Linked DNA regions of Drosophila melanogaster. The protein of the gene in region 3 interacts with the protein of the main gene of each other region in a pairwise test. Each region holds a gene or a part of one and is shown on either strand. Other genes may lie near its edges.

Evidence for each region.
Region 1: the proteins of gt (region 3) and REPTOR come close enough for resonance energy transfer, tested with the Drosophila melanogaster proteins (one study listed by BioGRID).
Region 2: the proteins of gt (region 3) and CG16815 come close enough for resonance energy transfer, tested with the Drosophila melanogaster proteins (one study listed by BioGRID).

What each region holds. Positions count from the first base shown.
Region 1 is NT_033777.3:24,578,820-24,584,821, reverse strand, and holds the start of REPTOR (repressed by TOR), read left to right. Parts: upstream 1-1,957; 5' UTR 1,958-2,109; intron 2,110-6,002. Other genes in the region: CG13625 (uncharacterized protein), read left to right, coding at 1-1,685.
Region 2 is NT_033779.5:13,228,210-13,232,094, reverse strand, and holds CG16815 (uncharacterized protein), read right to left. Parts: upstream 2,264-3,885; 5' UTR 2,190-2,263; coding exon 1,611-2,189; 3' UTR 1,546-1,610; downstream 1-1,545. Other genes in the region: CG16813 (uncharacterized protein), read right to left, coding at 3,688-3,885.
Region 3 is NC_004354.4:2,425,741-2,432,138, forward strand, and holds gt (giant), read right to left. Parts: upstream 3,228-6,398; 5' UTR 3,113-3,227; coding exon 3,061-3,112; intron 2,986-3,060; coding exon 1,691-2,985; 3' UTR 1,373-1,690; downstream 1-1,372. UniProt on the Drosophila melanogaster protein: Represses the expression of both the krueppel and knirps segmentation gap genes. Binds, in vitro, to the krueppel regulatory elements CD1 and CD2. It is required in the early embryo for the development of portions of the head and abdomen.

The sequences.
Region 1 (6,002 bases), on a different chromosome or scaffold from region 3:
GGCGCAACATTGCCGTCAAGGATGAAATCAAAGAAGAGCACGAGGAATCCTCGCCAGCAACTGGCATTCGCATCAAACAGGAGCCCTTGGATGAGGAGCAGGAGATGTGGGGACGCAAGGCGACAGTTGTTAAGGTTAAGGATGAATTCTCACCATCCAGACGAAGTTCACCCGTCAGAATTAAGCAAGAAAAACGCAGCAGCTCTAGGGATTTAAGCCCAGCGAGATCGAGTAAGCCAGCAAAGCGAGAAGAGAGTCCTCAAAGGGGGCGAAGAAGGGCGGGAAGCTCAGATCAGAGTCCCACCAGACGAGGGCGAGATGGCGATCAGTCTCCGCCACGCCAAAAGCACAGGGATTCCGATCAGAGTCCACCCCGAAAGGCCAGGAATGGCAATCAATCGCCAGTCAGAAAAAGGCGGGATTCCGACCAAAGTCCGCCAAGAAAACGAACGGGAAAAGCATCACCCACTCGAAGGAGAAGGGATTCCGATCAATCGCCACCCAGACGCCGCAGAAGTAACTCCGATCAGAGTCCGCCAAGGCGACGTAGAGACAAGGATTCAACTCCGCCCAGAAGGAGGAAAGATTCCGATCAAAGCCCACCTCGAAGGCGTAAAGCAGACGATCAATCTCCGGTGCGAAGGGAAAGGAAAGACTCCGACCAAAGTCCGCCTAGGAAACGGAGAGACAATGACCAGTCTCCAGTGCGAAGGAGGCGGGATTCAGATCAAAGCCCGCCCCGAAGACGCAGAGATGACAAGCAAACGCCGCCAAGGAGGAGAAGAAACTCCGATCAAAGCCCGCCAAGAAGACCCAAGGATGTAGATCAATCGCCACCGCGAAGAAAACGAGACTTCGACCAAAGTCCAACCAGAAAACGAGACAAATCACCACGCAGACGTCACGACTCCGACCAAAGCCCGGCCAGAAATCACAGAAGTCGAGAGCGCAGTCCACCGCCTCGTAATCGCTTCAAGGAAGAAAGGAAAAGTCGCTGGGCCAAGGCATCGCCCAGCAAATCAGCATCTCCACCTCCGACACACAAGCCGAAATCCACCAAGACACTAGATGGCAAGAAAGCTGGACTGCAGGATGCGAAATCGCTGAAGAAGGAAACCGACGAAAGGCGTCGACAAGAACATGAACTATTCGAGAAAATGTCCAGCGAAATTTCCGGTCGTGATGGCGATGTGCAGGTGCGCAGTACTCGCAGAAAGGGACACCGAGCACGAGATGCCGCCAATGAGGATCCCGCCGAGCAGGGCCGCAAAGAGGAGCACGAGAAAAAGAAGAAGGAACTGTACGATCGCTGGGGCAAGGGGTTGAAGCAAATAGAAGATCACAAGTCCCGCCTGGAGGAGATGGTCCATGAGGCCTCCAAACCGGTGGCTCGCTATGCCAACGACGAGGATCTGGACAGGCATCTGCGCGAACAGGAGCACGCCGACGACCCGATGCTGGAGTACATGCGCCAGAAGCGCAAGAAACGCGACCAGCAGGACAACAAGCCGGTGATGCCCAAGTACGAGGGCAGCTTTCCGGAGAACCGATTTGGCATCCGACCAGGATATCGCTGGGATGGCGTCGATCGATCCAACGGCTACGAGCAGCGTTGGTTCGACAAACAGAACGAACGGCGGGCCGTGCAGGATGAGGCCTACAAGTACAGCGTGGAGGATATGTGAATGTTGCAAGCGTTGTTTGCTTTCGTGTTGCAATAAAGATGTAGGCACTGCCTGTAAAAAAGAAAAGAGCAATTACATTGATCGTTTTCTTTGTTTTATTGAATTATTTTGGAAAATAAAGAATGTAAATAGGTAATATAATATTTAATATTTATTTACAAAAATTTGATTTTCGAAATGCCCGCCACTTTCCCGCCAAATCGACGTGCCACCTGCAACACTGGTCGCCAGCGCAATGCAACCCTGTGTGTAGAATAGCGGAGCAAAAGCGAATGGTAAATAGTCTTCATCTACACCTGCGACCTGCTCGTCGCTCCCAAAAAATCGTTTCAAAACCACGGAATAAACCGTGTAACTGGGGAAAACCCATTGTAATTATCAAGTTTAAAGTGTGCCGCACATTTTGGCTTCAAAACCAGAATAGGTAAGTGACATCATCTGCTAAATAGAAGCATTCTAAGATTTTTGCTTTGTAAGCAATAGAGTATCGATGTGTGTGTGTGTATGTAAATGGTTCTGCTTTTGGTTGCTTTGTTGCTGCTTTCGTTACAGCGAACAAAGCGTAAGCAACTGTATATGTGTATCGAGTGGGACGCCAGTGGTGTGTGTTTGTTGCCCCGCCCCCAATAATTAGCATAAAACTCTCTTAACCACAACAAAAACACCACAGTCGTGTTGGTTTGTGCATTTGTGGATTGGGATTTCGGTGGTTTTCCTTTTTTTTTCAGCTGCTTTGCCTGCCCTTCGCCTTCAGCCGCAATTGTCGGTCAGCCGATGAAAAACCAGTTTGTTTGTTTGTTGGCTTGTAGCTGCTGCTGCTGCGGCTGATTGTTGTGATTTTGTTGTTGCTGCTGGTGCTGCTGCACTGCAATTTGCTTGGCGCAAAATTGGCGCCAAAAGCTTTTCAGCTGCAGAAACGTGTGGAAATGTTGAAATGTGTACGTACCATTCCAATCAGGCATTTGGCGCATGCACGCGCCTGTCGCTCGCTGCAGCTTCCATCTCGCTCGCTCGCGGCGGGATGCAAATACCGCAATCAGCTTTCGTTCTATCTCTTTCCCGTTGACACACATACACACTTCCGCACATCGCATTCATTCATGACACTGCTATTTACTCCCCCTCTCTCTCCCCTGCCCCTCTACGTTCTTCTTTTCGATTCCTTGTGTGCCATTTCGTGGTCTGCTTTTATTTCGCTTCATTTTGAATTAATTGCACTTCGTTAGATTATTATTTTTGCACTCTAACAAAGAGCCGTTCGTTTGGATGTTACTTTGTGTGCAAATGAAGATTTAGCCAATTTACACAATCGTAAATTTAATTTGCGTTAGTGTATGTAAATCCATAATTTTCAGTTTCTATTTCCTTTTAGCAATCAAGTGCTAATTTGATCAATTATGCGCCTTTGATAAATAAATAAATAATGCAGTAAATTTATTTGTTTGATATTCTCTTTAATGTTGTAATTGTGCACTTTTCATACATATTATACTCCTTTGTTCTTAAAAATGCATAAAGTGAAGGTGGTTTTAAATTATGCTATAGACTTTGATTTTTTTAAAAGGTATTGACTAATTGAGTTTTTTAAACTTCAAGTTTACTCATTTTAAATGCATGAAAAACAGTTCTTTATAAGTTTAACTAGTTTTTAGTTATTTGTTGTTAACGGCAGATATTACACGCAATGGACATCGCAAAGATGCTAATTCTTTATTTCCCTAAGATAAGGGTAAAAATATCAAATATCTGTTTCTGAAAGTTTGCCTATTTTGCTTTTGAGCATGAAAACTTTCTTCAACTTTTCTTGGGCACTTTGTGTTTTTGAATGTTCTTTGCATCAGACAGGCTAAGATCAGTGCTTGGCCTTCTTCGACACATGGCCCTCTTAACCCCCCCAAAAAAAGGGGGAGAACCATAAACTGATGGCGCAGACACCCCAAGGAAACCTTCGCTGGTCCAAAAGCAACCCCCAGAGCAAGCTCAACCCTTGTCCTTGGCCCTTCCTTGTGCATTTCCTTGGCTTTTTCCTCGCGAATGGGGTGCTTCCAAGGACCCAGTGACATGACATTGTAATGGCTTAGAAATTTACACGCATCCCATGCTGAGTACGTGTGTTCCAAGCACCCCTTACAATCCACAGATTGATCCTCCCCCTTGGTCTTTGCTCGGAAATTGAGGGGTTGGTTTGTGTCATGCACTGTCAAAAATATTTATTAAATTACCAATATCTGAAACTCTAAATAAATTTCCCAATAGATGTAAAATCAGCACAAGAAATTTGCTATTTTCAAACGCCTTTTTTATCATAACTTGGCTAAAAATGTACTCACATTACAACATTTGATAGTTTTGTGCAGCTTATTATCCCAACTAACGATCTATATCACTTTTTTGTTCATATTTGGAATTTCAAAATTTTATGAATTTTGGATTTTTTGCAAGGGGTAACATCATAAAATTTTGAAAAAAATTTAACAAAAAAAAAAATTTTCAAATTTAAATGCCAATTGATTTAGAATTTTATAACGAGTTTTTTGAGATATGGCATTCCATATTGTGGCTGTTTTTTATAAAATTATGACGAAAAAACGAACTATTATGTGCGGAAAATTAGGCTAAAAAATTATTGCAAAATTTCATATTTACGAATACCACAAATATTGACTATTTGATTTTGATATATTTGAAATATTATTTATTACTGTTTATGTATGTACCAAATTGTTTGCAGTGTAGAATTTTGGCACAGTGATTCGGGTTCTTTAAAGCGTTTTTTAATTCCTTCACATGCTGGAACAACATAGGGCAAAGTTATTCAAATTCCTTTTGTTCGAAATCCTGTTGAATGGCAAAGGGAATTTCAATTCGGTTGATTCGATGGAATTTCCTCGGCACCACGTGTTCCGATCCTGGGATTTCCAATGACTCATACGCTTGGGGTTGTTGCTAGGGAAGCTTCTGAGTGGAGGAACTTCAGTTGGAATTGCCTTCTCGATCCTGGAACTTCCAATCAGTTTCTTTAATGGGAAAACTAGCGTATACTAATTCCTTAATTATTACTTTACCGACTTCAAGCTGCTGGAGGAATAGGAAGAGGGAAAGTCTAGGGGACTTACACCCCGCTAGGCCAACAAATAACTAGAGGAAAACAATGGAATTTTCATAATTTTCCTGGTCCATCTGGTTTTTCCCCCCTGCTTTGTGAACCTTATCCTCTTAGAACAATGCTGTGTAAAAGCGCCCCGCTGGAAAAACTAGTTTCTCCGCTTTCTTTCGATCGGAAAACAGAAGGCGAATGCCTTGTAACCAGTTTCTGCTAATTTGTGCACACGTGCAAATCCTTGGACAAAGGATCCATTGATAGAAACTCGTTCCAGCCCCCCGCCCGAGGCGAAAAGAAAAAAAAGGAAAGTGTTGGGTTCAAAACGCCGCCGGCCACTGACACAGGAAATTAAGGTTAATTCATCAAATTTTCGAAAAAGTTTTCTTCAAGAGACGGTCCGGATGGAAAATGCACTTTTCTTGGATCATTTGTCACTCGCATAATTAGATGCTTGTTATGACATCGCTGGGTTCAAAGTGCGAAGCATCAAGTGGTGTCGAGATGAGTTAGCATTTTAGGATCACTATATAAGAAAATTGGATGATTATAAATGGGAGTTTAAGTTGAGTTCAAGTGGTGTAGAGTCAAAGGATCTCGCAGGATCAACAGGGATTCTTGACGAACCAAAGAACGAAACAATCTTCTTCTCTTCTAATAAATTGTATTAAATCTGACAAAAGTTGTAGAAAACAACAATTAGATGGAATAAAAATATATAGAGCTATAATTCTCATATTAAATTTCATACCAAGAACTGACCTTAGATGATCCTCAGTTGGAGAAATCCTTTAACAACACTTCCTCCACATAACCATTTAGAGCTCGAGAGCTTCTGTTCCAGTTTGGAACCATAAATCAAGATCCATTGTTCGTTTCACGTGGATTGTTCTACTTACCGTACTGCTTACAGAACTTTGTAAGACAGACAATGGAGGGAATCCAAAAACAGGACTCGCGAAGGAGACAACCCGCTGCCCTAGATAACCATGAAAAGCATCCCGAGACTCTTTTTATTTTCATTATTACTACTTGCCCGAATGCCAAATTTGAAATTCCAGTTTGCTTTCGAACAAAGCACACGCATATGGATCAAAGGACATTAACTTGGGTGTTTTTTTTTTTTACGGGGGGGAAGCGAAGACAGCTTGGCTCGAAAGGATCTGCTCTGGCAATGGGAACAATATAAAATGGGAGATGGGAGCAGGACAATGATA
Region 2 (3,885 bases), on a different chromosome or scaffold from region 3:
AATGAATTCAGCGAAATAACGTTAGCTTGTTAGTTGCAAATTTGTCTAGCTTGAGTTGAAAGTAATTGAAAACTGATATTAATTTCAAGGGTTTGCTTATTCATAGAATTTCTTAAAATATTTACTCGTGTAATTGTTAATTAATCAATTTGTAATGGCCAATTCTAACTAATTTCATAGAATGAGGTCACAAAGAAAGGGTTTCGATGCATACCAAGAGAAAAGCCAATTGCAATCCTAACTTTGCTTTCACTCCAGCTAACTTGCATAATGCCTAACCATGTAGAAAATCAACGGTCTATGAGGAAGTTCGGGTGATCCGATGGAAAAAACATAGGCTGATGTTCGTCACTGAGTGCACCCGCCTCATATGCAGCCAACTGCATCGGGCTGTGAGTGAAAAATAGGAGCTATGATTTAGTCGAAGTATTCATGCTGCCGGGGAAGCCCCCTGCACATAACATAATTAACTCTTTTGGCGATTGCGCAATCGCTGTGCGCGAGCAGTTAATTACTTTTAATTTTCATTGATAGTACTTGTGGCAGTCCGACTTCCTATGGCGCAAATTTCCGTCGCAACTCCAACAACCCAGTAAACCACTTTGCACTTGTACCATGCAGCCAAACATCAATTTCAGTTAATTGTTGAGTTTTTTTTTTTGTGGCTGCATTTGGTTTTTTTGTTTTTGGCTTTTTTCTTCTTTTTTTCCAACTGGCCTAACATTGAAAATTGCATTTCTGCGCTTCGAGCTGTGTGTGCTTGCAAAACTCCGTCTCACTGGCCAATTGAACTTGAAGCTTTGCTTGGACTTTGTCTATATCTCCATATCGCCACATCCGATCTCTGTCAATATCATTAGCCAACAATCCACCGCGTTGAAGGCGATGCCAAAAAGCTTGGCCCAGTCCAAAATGTGGTTCTTTGTGGCGGGTTTGAACCTTGACGAAAGCCGCCACGAAATGAGAACGCCATGAAAATTAGCTAGACAACAATTAGTTGAACTTTGCTGGGTAATGGCACTCTGGGTAAATGGTTTCTCGGAAAAATCTGTCAATGCTTCGATGACTCACTTACTCCAGTGGTCAGACAAGTCACTGGAGTAAGTGGTTTTTGAGCCCTTGATTGAGCCCTTTTTTACCAAAAGTCATATCAAATAATAGATAATCTACTTTTGATAGCAGTACTTTTAGTTTTATTGAGCTAAAAATTATACCATAAATTTTATATATTATGATCACGATTAGGTTGTAATTAAATTAGAAATGATAATTGATCTCTTAATCATTTTATATAATTTTACTATTTTTCAAGCCGGTGGGTTAACTTAAAGATGTTTAAAATCCTAATATATATAGCATTATTATACATATGTAAAAAAATGTAATGGTTGCGATCCACTGACCTCCTAACAAATTTAACAATCATTTTAGATTAAATTTCGAATTTTCCAAGTGATAACCCCCAGTTAACAAAACCGGCAATTTAAATTAAATGCATAACTTTTGATTTATTTCAAAGTCAACAATAAATATTAATAATTAAGGCTTAATAAACTAAATCACATGATTGGGCTATCCATAGTCGCTGATTATGATATGATTTTGGACGGTCAGCAGTGCTGGCCACCAAAGATGAGCATCTGCTGGGAGAGGGCCATCTGCTGGAGGAACTGTTGTTGCTGCTGCGGCAGGATGTGACCCGGTGCCGGATTTATGGCACGCTGGAACACCGCCTGTTGGAGGATGTGGCGGTAGTATAGACTGAGGCGCACCTGCTGTTCCAGCATGGCGGCATGATGACTCCGATACTGCTCGTACTGCTGACCCACTTGCTCCTCCTGTGCCTGCTTGGCCCGCCGGCTGAGTAGGCAAGCCAGCGTGTTTCTATCGCGGCGCATCTGCTCCTTGGGGCTTCGCTGACGATTGGTGTTACTGCGGCGCACCATGTTGGCACGGTACTGGCTGACCGAGGATCCTGGGCCACTGGGTTTCGCCGCCGTTGACGTCTCCTTCTCCGCCTGTTGGTTCTGCTCATTATCCAACCAAGGTCGGAAGAATCCCTGTGTCTGACGGCGCTTGAAGATCGGCTGTTCCGACTGCTGAGTTTGGTTCTCCTTGTCATGGTCCACTTCCCGTTTCCGCTTGCTGACGGCAAACTTCTTGTGGGTGTAGCTCGATGAGTTCTCCATTTTTGTATTTCGATAATATGACTCCGAATGAGTTGTGGTGATGATGTGACTCGTTGGACGATCGCTTGCTGAATGATTGGCTTCGAGATTGATATCCTGGTTATAAGCACAGTAGGTAGGCGGTACAGGTAGCCACATAGGGAAATCCCTTTGTTTTGGGTCTGTCAACAAAGGGATTAGCGCATCCATTCCGCATTAGGTAATCTCCGTCCTGGATTAAGCAGCATATTTTATGACCTGCTCTATCACAGCGCTAATTGTCGTCGCAGGATTGCCTCATTATCCTTTTTTTGGTGTGTGGATTACCTGGATTATCGGACAAATGTGGCCACCGGAACAGGAAAGTTCTGGACCGAACAACTGTTATGCAGGCGATGCATTTTTTTATTGACCTGCATGACACAATTTGTTGTGGCACCGTGTGTGGTCCCTTTGGCTCCTGGTTCCTCAGCACACTTTGTTTTAATTCCCTGGAAATTCTCGAGGGTCCTTTGCCGAACACTTTTCCTCTAGAATGACATGGCATTATATGTCCTGGTCGGTGGTTAGAAAAAAGTGTCAAGGATTTTTAAAGACTGCTGACAGATGCGATTTCAGTTTACGGAGAAGGAATTGCATTCATGGAAGTCTTGAGAGGTGAATTAAATATATTTAATCCATTTATTAGTTTAGGTAGTAAAACACGCCTTTAAAAATATTTAAAGAGTTAAATAAACTTCGTACAAACATGTATACGGCATATATCATATATATAAATGAATTAGTAAAACACTATTCGTGTAAATAATTTAGTATATTAAGATTTATTTATCTGCGCAATTTTTAATCGCGGACAACAATATGATGATTTCATTGATGATTATTTAAATATAAAGGCGGATCTTATTGTCACCGTGTTTTAATTATTTTGCAAGCACTTTGTTCGTTCGCTATGCTGATTTGTTTATAAATTAAATAATTAAATCCAACTGAAATAAATTACAATTTTATTCCGTGTTTCCCACAATATGTCACTCGTGCCGAATCGATTCAATTCTCACTGTAGTCTGGCTATGTGAATCACTAGAATTACTTCACACCTTAATTAGCATTGCAAATTGCGCTTCCAAGAAATTAATTACATAAGATGTATTTAATGTTATATAATGGCAGAAAAACCAAGTGAGGTAACTCTTATGAGCTGATGCTTCCGGTCAGTTTTGGTCTAGAACAAATCCTCATGATGTTAAACGGCGGAAAAGAAATATCAGACTTCCAAATAAGATTCAATAAATAAGACCCCGAGTTAGATTTCAATCAATCAGAAACCAACTAAAAACCAATTATTACAAAATTCTATAAAAATTACAAGTTATTTCGATAACAATTAGTGTGTTTATTGTTTAGTCAACCAGATAAATAAATTAAACTTTAAAAGTAATCACAATCACTATTCAGCTTTTCTACAATAAGTTAGGGCGCATTGAGCAGCGCCCAGTCGTTGCACCATGTCCACCCTTCAAGGATGCTGGGTGGTGGTCTGTTGGCGCGGCATCATGTGCCTTGGCTGTGTGGGAGGCAGTGGCTCCGTGGAGGCCATCGCCTGCTGCAGGAAGCGCACATAGTAGAGACTCAGGCGGATCTGCTGCTGCAGATTGGCCTCGTGCTGAATGCGACTGGTCAGGTATTGTTGTTCGATGAGCTGCTGCTGTTGCTG
Region 3 (6,398 bases):
TGTATTTTTAATCAGTCTGTTCATTTATCTCTTTTACTCCAGTTAAGCTAAGCCCTTTCTGTTCTCCTTGCCACTTCGTTATACAGATTCCGATATTTCGACAAGCGTTATATACAAAATGGGTTGAGTTTAGTTTAAAAGTTGCCTTGATTTGGATGTTTCAATTTAAACTGTTTTGGAAATTCATATTTTAAAAGTTTACTTGGATCTAACACCTTTTCAATACACTTCTTCTTAGATTTTTTTTTATTATATTTATTATTATAGATCCAACACTGACCTACGCCATCCAAGTGTGGGGAATAGCCTCTAAGACTCAGCTCAATAGGCTTAGAGTAATACAATCGCGAGCGGCACGACATGCATCTGGGCTACCCTGGTATGTGACCAACGGAGTTCTTGAAAGGGACTTAAAAGTTGTCCCATTGGGAGACCAAATAAACTTCCACAGCAGTCGATATGCCAACAGGCTTAGCGCCCACCCGAACACGTCGGCGAATAATCTAGTCGACCCTATTTTCCTCCGACGTCTGAAGAGAATACATTCCCATGAATTCTTACACGTAAGATAGTATAATCTCTCCACGGTACATATTTATACACTATAATTAAGGAAAAAATCCATAATATCTTTTAAGCTACACATTAAGTTAAGTTCAGAAGGAACTGAACGATTCCTAATGAATAAAAATAAATGATTTAAACCCTAAAAAAAGGTGTTTTATTGTTTTTGAGTTGGTTTTCAGTAGACACCCGCTACTGAGTATGTTGGCCTGGTACCAAAAATCCAAAATTTGCCACTAAAATGCTAATTTTGTAAGCAAAATTTAGAGATTTTCGGTTTAAATTACCAGGCGAACAGGAATTCCAGGAGGCGACCAACGATTAGTTGGTTTTCAGTAGACACCCGCTACTGAGTATGTTGGCCTGGTACCAAAAATCCAAAATTTGCCACTAAAATGCTAATTTTGTAAGCAAAATTAACAGATTTTCGGCTTAAATTACCAGGCGAACAGGAATTCCAGGAGGCGACCAACGATTAGTTGGTTTTCAGTAGACACCCGCTACTGAGTATGTTGGCCTGGTACCAAAAATCCAAAATTTGCCACTAAAATGCTAATTTTGTAAGCAAAATTAACAGATTTTCGGCTTAAATTACCAGGCGAACAGGAATTCCAGGAGGCGACCAACGATTAGTTGGTTTTCAGTAGACACCCGCTACTGAGTATGTTGGCCTGGTACCAAAAATCCCAAAATTTGCCACAAAAATGCTAATTTTGTAAGCAAAATTAACAGATTTTCGGTTTAAATTACCAGGCGAACAGGAGTTCCAGGAGGCGACCAACGAGAACAGAAATTCCAGGAGATAATTATTTTCGATAATTTATTGAAATTCATTCCTTAGGGCTATGAAAAAAATTCACTTATAAGTTAAACATTAATAGCTAGCTGGGACTTCTACAACTATAGATGATTCCATTGATAGTTAACTGGTGGGATTGCGAGATGCACTACAGCTAATACATTTTCCAAATATAACGTATACTCCAAGGACTTAAAGTACTTAAATGCGAGCGTGTAAAAAAAAAAGAAAGTTGAGCCCCCTAAACTATTCACAGATAAGCTGACCCAAAAACTGGACATACGATTCGGATCCTCGCGTTCAACGCATCAAGAGAGGAGTGGACCTTTAGGCGGTGGTTACTTTGGCGGAGGTGAAGGCGGCCAGCTGGACCTTGAGGGCGTCGATCTGGCACAAGAGCTCGATGTTCTGGCGTTCCAGATAGGCGGCCCTGATGGCGATCTCATCCTCCTTGATGCGGCGGCGATCGCGGGACTTCTTGGCGGCAGCATTGTTCTTGCGACGCCTCTCGTAGTATGCGGCATCCTTAACCTGGCTGCCCGAGCTGATGCCCGAGTTTGCTGCAGTAGCGTTAGCCAAGTTGCTGGAGCTGCTGGTGGCGGACTTGCTCTCGAAGTTGCCCGCCTGGGAGTCACAGTCGCTTGACTCCTCCGCAGCAGCGCGATCCTCGCTTTCGCTGTTGTTGTTTGAGGAGCTGCCTTCGTTGACGGATCCACTTCTTGAGTTGGTCCTTCGCATTTTTGGGTTGGTTACGGTGCGCGATCCTCCGTTGGAGCTGCGGATTTGCTCAAGCACTCGCTTCCGGTATTCCGTGTAGCGCTCCACTCGCGGATTGTCCAAAAGGACATCAGTGGCTGCGAAATTGGCAGCTATGACCAAGGGATCCCGGGGAAAGGCCTTGAAGGGACGGGTGTTCTTTCCCGCCTCGCCGCTGCTGGAGGTGGTTGGCGTGGTGGCCTCAACAGCCGGTGACAGGGGATTCTCCAGAACGTCTATCTGCATGGTGCTGGCGTTGCTGGCGGGTCTTGGTGAGTTGGTCGAAGAAGCGGCAGCAGCAGCGGCGGCCGCAGCAGAGGCGGCAGCAAAGGTTTGCAGAAGGTTAGCGGTTGGTGTAACCTTGGGCGGAGCAGCAGTGGGCGTGGCTTGCTCCTGCTTGATGTTGCTGTAGTAAAAAGCGGGATACAGGGAGGCTAATTGTTGCTGCTGCTGCTGTTGCTGTTGTTGCTGCTGATGTTGCTGCTGTTGCATTTGGGCGGCATACAGAAGATTGCTGGTGGGCGAAGCCGAGGGGGAACCACTGCCGTAGCTATAGCTTGTTTGATACGGCGAGGGAGTCTTCCTGGGTGTCTCTACGCTGTCACATCGACGGGAAAGATCCAGGACCTCTGCAGAGGAGGTATGCTGCTGCTGCAGCTGCTGATGTTGCTGCTGCTGCTGTTGCTGTTGTTGCTGCTGACTGAGGGCAGCTCCCAGCAACTGCTGCTGGTAGGCGTAGGCCGTGTACAGATCCATTTTGGGTAGGCCCAAGGATCCCTGAACCGGCAATTGGCTGTGCGGCAAGTGGTGCAGTGGTTGCTGCTGGTGGTGCTGGTACTGGTGGTGGTGCATCAGGGGCTTGCGATCTGCAAAGATTGAGAGAGAGAGGGGATTTGTTAGTTTACGGATCGAGGAGAAACCAAGGGGCGTGGCCAACTTACCAGTCTTGAGATCGAAGAACTGCCCGGCCATGAGTTTCTCGTGCATTAGCATGGTGTTCGGTGTATGGTCTCTGGGTTTAATCCAACTGATTGACGCTATATAGACTGGTGATCTAGCTCTGATGTTGCTATATCTTCACGCTGACGATGTCGAACGCAAACTGATTTCCTCTCGTCGGAACCCCCTGCATTTATACCGAAAATCCGGAGGCTGCGCCGACGCCTCATTCACATCGAAATGGCGGACACGAGCGGCCAGCCGAAGCGGTACGAAGCAGGTAGGCGGTACAAAGGCCAAAGGGCAAAGGGGTGATTCTGGCTTTGCTTCTGACTCTGTCCCGCTCTGGCCTGTTGCCCTCTCTGTCTCACCGCTTTCGAAAGGGTTTTACAAGGGTGCGGCTGCCCTTTCCCTCATTTGGTTTTCGCAGTTTTCGCAAAAATCATAGTTCTTTGTGCTATTGTTAGTTCGCCATTTAACGTAATTTTAAAAAGAAAGTACAAAGAGTTTTCGAACTTTACGTTTCATCAGTTTCCGCGAAAGGATATGGTTTTTTCTTGGTTTTAATATTCAATGGGAAAAAATAGGAAAATTCGTACCACCTCTGCAGTGCTTTACATTTCGTTTTCATGGAATTGGTTAAAAATATTCATAATCAATATAGAGTTATAAACTTCGGCTCTATTTTCATAGGCGTTCATTGCGATGTTATAAGTCCAAGTTTGAGGAAACCCCAGATTTTTGTATATACCAGCATTGTGCATTTGATTTTTTATTACAATTGTACCTAACTTACTTGCTTTGACATCCAACTGATAAAACCCTTACCCAAAAACCAATCTTAAAAATCTTAAGTTATTAAACCTTTAGATTTAAGTAACTGCTGTATATATTGCTTTCAAATATAAAGAATAAACCGCAATTAAACATCGTAGGCTATTCTCTTCAGCACTGAAATAAACCATACTTCTGAATCTTCTAGAACATTTCGCATATCAAAGACCCCCCGACCGTAGACTATTATAATTACACTCAAATCATACTTTTCTGGCCAGAAAGAGAGGCATCTGGCAGAAGAAAAGAGATGGAATCTAGTTTGTTGATAATAGATGCACAACATCCAAGGGTTGTGATGGCTAAATCCGTTTGTTTTGCGCTTTTGTTTCGAAATCCTTTTGCTGACCAGCCCATCTAGAATCTGTGTATCCATGCGATGGCGAATTCGTTGGATTGTGCGTGACAAATTATGGAAATTAGGACGAGTTCTGGCGTTCTTGCAATTTTCAGCCCTTTTCGGCTGGCGTAATTCGCATCCTTTTCTTATTTCGGCAATGAAAACTCGGCTTCCCGGAATTTTGGCAAGGACACTCGCCAGTCTGCCCATTTGATTCATGACGCCGCCAGCCCGAGGATCGAGAATCGAGAGTCCAGGATCATTGCGACAAGTGGCCGTCCGTGTTGACTGCTCGTGTTTGCCCTCCTCCTTAAACATCCTTGATTCTACGTCCTTTATCCCTTTGGCTTCCGCTGCGGCGTGGGATGTGGGATCCTCGACAAGTTGTTTCACTTTGTTAACTGTTTGTCCTAACGGTCGCCTCGACAGCCAACGGAAGTGGGTAGCGGTACAAAGTTGGCTATCATCCATGGGAAATGTTATGCTAGATACTTACTGCAGCTAATTCGAGGACATAACGTAGTTTAGATTTGTTACGCTGAAATGTTATCAAATCCTATCAACAATACCTACATTATATACTATCTTTCATTCATTCTCTTTTTACAACTGCCCATTCAGGGGGATTGGGTGAATTGCAAATAAAAAGAGGGATCGATCGATGGTAATCAGTAAAAAACCGCGAACTTATCCGCTAATCCGTGCGCTAATCCAACCGTAAAAATGGTGGATTAAACTAAAACTCGGACCGTCACGTCGCCGTCATTGAGTCGATCCCTTACCTGCGGTTACCGGGCCCGAACCCGAGCCCTTCCAGATCCTGGACATACGTATAGCCCAGCCCAATCGATCCCGAGCAGATGCCATAAAAAGTCGCGGCCGAAGTCGAAGCCAAAGAGTTGCCAAGTTCGGTGTAAAAACCAGATTCAGCGAAAAAAAAACGTAAAAAACAGCAGGCCATAAAACCATATATTCATATACTCGGACTGCTGTTCCTTCGCCATAATGAGCTCCGAACCAAAGATGCAATATTTGTGCAATCCTTTGAGTTGTGACCTTGGGCGCGTTTTTTACGGAATCATCTACCTGATGGCCGAACGGGTTGCCCACCCACGGTATGCGCTGTATTAGGCTGTTATGCTGTTGCCTAAAAAACATCCAAAGTTTTATTGCATAATGGACGCTTCGTGCGAAAAGGCCTCATTCCGAGTCCGCGGGCCCTAAAACCGCTGCAGTTTTTTAAGGAGCCATAAACTGATATTTCGGACACCGGCGGTCCTTAAAAAAAAAAGGGTTCTCTCCTCCGACCATTGTGGCTGCGATTTTTATATTGGTCCGCTGCTAGGTGACAAAGAAAATCAGCGACTAATTGACTGAAAGGGGTTTTGCCTTATATGACCCGTCCCACCCGTCCAAAAAAGGGTGAGGAGTGGTTTGGATTTGGATTCGTGCTTGGTTTCGGGGAATTGCCGTTAACTCCTTTCGCGGCCCTTTGTCTTAATGGGTTAACAGTCGCATATTGGAATCCTTAGCTTCGAATGGCCCCTGTCGTAAACGTAAGTTGAAAGCAACTTATCACATATTAGGACTGCCATTTTGTTTCTGAGAATCTGTATTCCCGCTTTTTACCCCTAAAAAACCCCTAGTTTGGGATAAGCAAAGATCAGCGCTCTCCTCCGCACTTTCATCTCGAAGTGATGGTAAGTTTCTGGTAATAAATTATCTTTTTCATATCATCAATTCTTGCAAGATAATGCCAACTTCCTCCCAAAGGAACTCCTTGAAAGGCCGTTCTTCAGCACAATTGATGAAATGAGATTACTTTCAAATGTATGATTAGTTTGGCCGTCATTCAGTTGATTCTCGGCCACGATGGCCGTCTAAGCCCATCAGGAAAGGCACCTATATCCTGCGATGCTAATGAGGAAGTAAGTAGTCGGCCGGCGAGGAAGTGAACGGGGATTACACGTGCTCCTCGGCCGGACAAAGGCACTCTCCTCTCGCAGCAGAGTGTTTGGGCTAAGCGAAAAAGACTAACCAGGATCGAGAGTCGGAAATCGAGAATCGAGGACTTGGGATCACTTGTTTGTTTTCCTTGGCATATGCAAAGTGCACACTTGCAGAGGATAATGGGAACAGGTATTGCTCGGCTCGATGTGTCTGGGG